Sus scrofa: one gene and its partner. The protein of the gene in region 1 binds, or shares a complex with, the protein of each later gene. Links are inferred from orthologs where the notes say so. Each region holds a gene or a part of one and is shown on either strand. Other genes may lie near its edges. The genes, in order: ELMO1 and RHOG.

Evidence for each region.
Region 2: the proteins of ELMO1 (region 1) and RHOG are in contact, whole or in part, in a crystal structure (PDB 7Y4A), measured with the Homo sapiens proteins. The link is inferred for Sus scrofa from reciprocal best matches to the Homo sapiens genes ELMO1 and RHOG. Residues at the interface, in NP_001193409.1 of Homo sapiens: Lys9, Val10, Ala11, Glu13, Tyr18, Pro19, Leu21, Met22, Ala54, Asn71, Gly72, Ile74; in NP_001656.2 of Homo sapiens: Val36, Phe37, Asp38, Trp56, Tyr64, Arg66, Leu67, Leu70, Ser71, Pro73, Gln74.

What each region holds. Positions count from the first base shown.
Region 1 is NC_010460.4:36,964,400-36,968,221, reverse strand, and holds part of ELMO1 (engulfment and cell motility protein 1), read right to left. Parts: intron 2,803-3,822; coding exon 2,633-2,802; intron 1-2,632. UniProt on the Homo sapiens protein: Involved in cytoskeletal rearrangements required for phagocytosis of apoptotic cells and cell motility. Acts in association with DOCK1 and CRK. Was initially proposed to be required in complex with DOCK1 to activate Rac Rho small GTPases.
Region 2 is NC_010451.4:6,292,916-6,295,591, reverse strand, and holds RHOG (rho-related GTP-binding protein RhoG), read right to left. Parts: upstream 1,364-2,676; coding exon 788-1,363; downstream 1-787.

The DNA of each region.
Region 1 (3,822 bases):
CTCAAAATCACAACTCGTACTCCACTGCTTGCTCGTAACAAGAAGTGAGGGATCAGGCACACTGCACACTAGATTCAGCCTGGAGCTTCAGACAAAGACTGAATTTTCTTTCTCCTTTCCCTCGGGCACGCCTCTTGGATCCCTCAATGTATTCAATTTCCCTCGAGCTGTTTCAAGATCCAACTCCAATTTATAGTAACTACTTTGGATTCTGCTAACACCCAGAATCTCAGCTCTCCTGCCCTACTCCAAGCTGATGTTTGCCAAAAATGTACTAAGAGTTTTAGCCATCATTAAAAAAAATAACGGATACCCGTCTACAATTGCCCCCTTCCAGATCACCTAGTCTTGCTGGCCAGTCCTCTTGGATTTGCCTTTTTCCCCTCTTCATTCCTAGATATTTTCTATACTTGTCTGTAAAGTAAGACCCCCCCCAACTCCAAACTCTGGAGAACGTTCTTATATAGGAGATATTCCTGCTGTTATAAAACATGTTCTCTTTGAATAAGAAAAAAAAGAATCTTTTATTAGTGCCAATTGCAGATGCTAAATAATGCCAAGTGTAGGAGGAGACAGGAAGGAAGGAAGGAAAGGAGTGGGCCGAGACCCATCTCTACCATACACAGTCATCAGGTCATTCTTCTTCTTTTTTTTTTTTCACTTTTATAAAATCATGCGTTTTAACAATTAAAAAAAGAAAGTTTGAGTCGACCTCACTATTCTTTAGCATGTGTTTCAGAGATAAAATGCATTTTAAGATGATGTCATTAGGTACATTTATTTCATAATATGATGGCCTTATACTGTCTCCTTACTTTGAATGAGTCCAGGCATAAGACTACAACCTATGATTCTACTATATTCTCTAGCTGGGTGTCAACCTAGCATCATGGTGGTGTGGATTCTGAGTGGGTAAGATGGTTGGGTTTTAGTTAAGCCCAGAAAATGAAATTCCCGTAAGTGATTATTACAAAGGTGTGGCAGTGGGATGGAGGCAGGGGGCTCAGTAGCCCAGATTTTTCATAGTGATTATCAGGTCGTTCTTTAAATCACTATGTACTGAAGAGAGGTTTAACGGAGCCAGGTTGAAACCCCAATTCTCAATGCTATTTATTCTTCCCTAGTAAACACCTATCCCAACGCTGCACATCATTTATATGGTGGAATACAGACAGTGTAGTTAGTGGGCTCTGCATTCTCACGTGCTGACTTGCACGCTCTAATGGTCTCTGCCAGCAGCACCTGTCTATAGGAAATGAGCCGGTCCTGTAGACCCCACCGGGCTACTCTGGTCAAGCGAGTTATCTGTCCATTCATAAAAGCTAGACCCACATGGCTCCTTAGACGCCACAGTCACATCAGAGAATCAAACCCTTCCCTGAGGTGAGGGCACCAATCAGAAATGCCCATCACGGAGTTCCCACCCTGGCACAGTGGAAACGAATCCGACTAGGAACCATGAAGTTGCTGGTTCGATCCCTGGCCTTGCTCAGTGGGTTAAGGATCCGGTGTTGCCTTGAGCTGTGGGGTACGTTGCAGACACGCCTCGGATCTGGCATTGCTATGGCTCTGGTGTAGGCTGGCAGCAACAGCTCTGATTAGATCCCTAGCCTGGAAACCTCCATATGCCACGGGTGCGGCTCTAAAAGTACAAAACAAACAAACAAAACCCGCCCATCCCTTCCTCGCTTGTGACAGAACTCCAATCCCTGTCAGGTTCATGAGATACAACTGGTCCGACCTCTAGACTCCCAGCCTTCAGAAGGAGTTGTAGCTCAACTGAATTGTGCCTCCATAAATTTTTGGTTGGTTAGGCTCACATCTTTTCAAATTTTTTTTTTTCCTTTTTAGGGCCACACCTAAGTTCCCAGGCTAGGGGTGGAATTGGAGCTGCAGCTGCCAGCCTACGCCACAGCCACAGTGACACCAGATCAGAGTCACGTCTACAACCTATACTGCAGCTTGCGGCAACACCAGATCCTTAACCCACTGAGTGAGGCCAGGGATCAAAACACACATCCTCACGGATAGTATGTCAAGTTCTTAACCTGCTGAGCCACAACGGGAACTCTGATCTTTTCAAATTTTCCCAACTTCTACTTTTTTGCATATGTAGATACCGAATGAATATTTTCTGTATTTAACGGTAAATAATTAAGGACACATATTTCATCAGTCAATGTTAATTTTTTTAAATTACTTCAGGGATGTTATTTTGACCTGGTTTAAGACTTTGAAACATAAGGAGGTGTTCTTATACTTTTTTAAATGGAATCAGGGAATAAAAATGTTCTTGGAGATAAGCAAGGGATATGAGGGATTTCTATTTTGTAAGAATTGTAATTTTAGTGTTGGAAAGGCCCTTAGAGATAATGACCTAATATTTTTCCTTATAAATATGAAATGTCAGATATTGTCCTAGATCTTGGCTAGTCGGTGGGTGGAGAATGTGGTGATACTTAAATTACAAACCACACCCCACACACTATCTTAAAAGCCAATTTTTTTCCCCGGCGCCTAGTCATTTCTGGTAATTAAAACTAGAAATTGCTAGTATAAGGAAAATAACAGACACCCAGACTGTCATTAAGAAAGTACAGGGCAGATGGAAATCGAGATAAAAGACGCTTACTCAGTGCCGCTCTCCACCATCTGTGTGAGAAGAGAGATGCCGTCCAGATTGATAAACTCCTGGGCAAACGTGACATCCCGCGACAGGCTGGCCAGGTCCTTCAGAGCCTCCAGTTTGGCGTCCATACTCGACGACTGAATCCGTTCATGGAGCTGCTGGGCGTTTTGAGCCTCACCGGGGACAAAAACAAAGCAAAGAGTCTTCAGTGGAATCCACAACGGACAGAAAAGTAACATGTCATTGAAAAATGAAGATACATTATTTAGATGAATTATTACAGGCTAAGGGCAGGGTTCCAGCCGTCGTGACCCCACCTTCACGCGATGCTTGTCAATGTCACAATAGGCATCTGTCGCCTTCTTTGAACAGAACCCATACGTCCATCCCATGGAAGAGCGACAGCTCAGGAGCAGGGACGCTCCGGCAATGATGGCAGTGCGCAGGGAAAATGGGGAGAATGTTTACTTTGTAGTAAAATGATTATCTATAAGTGACAAAAAGCTATTTGCTTAATTAAGCAATTACACAAATTTATACAGCATGTTCACCCGGTTCAGTCAATACTCTGAGTAATAACTGCCTACACACAATGTTCAAAAGTTTCATTACACACCCAAATAATTTTTCAGGGTTACTGAATATCTTTCAGCACAGCACAGTGGGGCTTGCAAATTCCACCTTTCAACAACGTGTGTTTCACATACATTAGTTATTTATTGCATGAATTTAAAACAAAATAATTAGGCAAACAAAGTGGCAGCTTTGCCTAGAATTAGAGTTCTCCTTTTTTCAAGGCATTTGCACTTGGCGTCTACATGTAGCACAGAGAGGGACAGAAATATATCGGAGGAGTTAAACTTCCAGATAATAATGTGTCTTCTGTATTTCTCATCTACTCAGTAAAGGTTTTCATATATACCTTTCAGTTGGGATAGAGAAAGAAAGAGAGAAAGGAAGAAAGGAAGAAAGGAAGGAAGGAAGGAAGGAAGAAAGAAGGGAAAGAAAGAAAGAAAGAAAGAAAGAAAGAAAGAAAGAAAGAAAGAAAGAAAGAAAGAAAGAAAGAAAGAAGGAAAGAAAGAAAGGAAGGAAGGAAGGAAGGAAGAAAGAAAAGAAAGAAAGAAAGAAAGAAAGAAAGAAAGAAAGAAGGAAAGAAAGAAAGGAAGGAAGGAAGGAAGGAAGAAAGAAAGAAA
Region 2 (2,676 bases), on another chromosome or scaffold:
TCATGCTTTGTATCCCAGTCTGCTCCGCTCAACGGGCCCCTCCGAGGGAGCCCAGCGCTTTGTTAGGGAAATTGGGGGGTCGGGACCACAATGAAGCCTATTGTCTCCTGTACCCTCTTGCGGGAAACAAAAGGCTCCCAGTCTCTGGGGAGCCCTAGCTCAGGCCCAGCCCCTGCCCAACCCCCAATGCCTAGCACACAGGGAGGAGCCAGGGCCACTGGAGACAGGAGGTTTTATTGATGCTGATGGGGGTAGGAGAGGCCCCCAGGAGCCCGGAGGGGGTGGGGTGGGGGCCAAGTCAGTCAGCGGGCGCAGAAGGCCTGGGCACAGGGGCGTAGGGTAGGGCACATGGATCTTCTCAGGATTCCGTGGCTCCTTCTTGGGAAGGGAGAGCATCTTGAGGGGAGCGATTCCAAGAGCAGCGGGGAGAGGTCGGGGACGGCCAGAGCTCCAATCTGAGAAAGCACCACAACTGGCAGCGACATCTGCGTGGACAGCGGGATCAGCTGCTCAGAAGGGAGGGGGCGCTGGGTTGGCTTCTTGGGGAGGGGTCCGACCTCGGCCTGGGGGAGCTCTCAAGAATACCTGGTGCTCCCAGACGGAGTGGGGTGGGGCCCAAAGCCCCTCTCCCCATGGGCCTCCTTAAGGAGCGAAAGGCATTCGGGGAGCCCCCTGGCAAGGGGTGCCAGGATTAGTCCTTAAGGCACAGCTGGGGGCAGACAAGGCGCCAAGGCACAAAGGCACAACTGGTGGGGGGCAGGGGCAGCCTCCAAGCTGAGTGCCAGGGTCACAAGAGGACGCAGGACCGCCCACGCTTGATGGGCGTGGGGTTGAGCACGGCCCGGACGGCCTCAGCAAACACTTCCTTGACGCCGTCCTGCTGCAGGGCCGAGCACTCGAGGTAGCGCACAGCGTGGATCTGCTTGGCCAGCGCCTGGCCCTGCTGCGGCGTGATGGGCGCCTGGCCCTGCTCCTTGAGGCGCCGTAGGGTGTCAGGCTGGGATCTCAGGTCCTTCTTGGTGCCCACCAGGAGGATGGGCACGTCGGGGCAGTGGTGGCACACCTCTGGATGCCACTTGTGCCGCACATTCTCATAGGAGGGCGGACTGGCGATGGAGAAACAGATGACGAAGACGTTGGTCTGAGGGTAGGAGAGTGTGCGGAGGCGGTCGTACTCCTCCTGGCCCGCTGTGTCCCACAGGTTCAGGTTCACGGTGCGCCCGTCGACTGCGCTCTGGGCGCTGTAATTGTCGAACACTGTGGGGATGTACTCCTTGGGGAAGGCGTTGGTCGTGTAGCAGATGAGCAGGCACGTCTTGCCCACGGCGCCATCGCCCACCACCACGCACTTGATGCTCTGCATCGCGGGTGCGGCTGCTGCAGCGGAGGCTGTGCCTCCCTCCCCTTCTGGCCTAGGGACAGACGAGAGGGACTCGTGTTAGGGAGTCCGCCATCCACGGGCAAGAAAAGATGGCATACAGAGGGAAACCAGGCGTTCTCGTCGTGGCGCAGTGGTTAACGAATCTGACTAGGAACCAGGAGGTTGCAGCTTCGATCCCTGGCCTTGCTCAGTGGGCGAAGGATCTGGCGTTGCTGTGGCTCTGGCGTCGGCCAGCGGCTACAGCTCCAATTCGACCCCCAGCCTGGGAACCTCCATATGCCCCAGGAGCGGCCCTAGAAAAGGCAAAAAAAAAAAAGAGGGAAACCCATTCTTTTTAACCTGACACCATCCCGAAATCCTATCAGAGAGACTCAGAGAGACAGACACATGATGGGAGAGAGTCGTCTGAGACCAAGCGGAGATGCTCGGAGGTACGGCGCTGGGGCTGGGGCGTGTGATAGAGCAGGTGAAGCATCTGAGTTCTGAGGCCAGACCGCGAAGGGCAAAATCTGGTTCTGCTGTCTCCTAGCTGTATGACCCCAGACAAGCTGCTTCACCTCTTTATGCCTCATTGTTCTAATCTGTAAAACGGGAGTAAAATAATAGCTCCCCCAGTGGGTTGCTGGGAGGAGTGTGTAAGTCTATATATATAAGTCAGCACATGCAGAGCATTTGGAACAGGCCGGGTCATAACAAGCCGTCAGTGATCATGCGCTGCTTTTCTTTTTCCTGCTTTTTATCTAAGTGTAGATAAAAAGGAGGGGCATAAGCGTAGAGACCGGCCAGATCCTCCGTCAGCCGCGGAGCCCCCGTGCTGAGCAGACTGGGGAGGGCTTCCGGCACAGGACAGCCGTCCGGGTCCCTAGGAGATGCAGCCATGGATGGAGCCCCTCTCAACTCAGGGCCAGCCCCGCCTAACACGCTGATGTTTCAGTTCTAAATCTGACACCCTGGTGAGGGCAACCCAAATGGTGCAGGGAGAAACCTGTTGAGTAGGAAGCACAATTCTCTAGACAGTGGCTGTATCTCATCCCGGGTACCCTGCCGTGGGGAAAAGGAGGAAGAATTCACCCCCTTGTTCCTGGAAGCACAGGAAACCCCATCTGGCCACACACAGCCAGCCTGGCAACTCAGGGCCGGAGACCACTGGCGACTGAGCCGGGGCTGGGACTGGGTCTGGAACCTTGTACATCACGATGGAAGGAGGCAGAGGCTGTGGCTCCCGATGTCTGCATCCCGTCTCAAGGTGGAGTGAGGCCGACCTTCGATTTTCCCCTTAATTCCCTTTTCTGAGA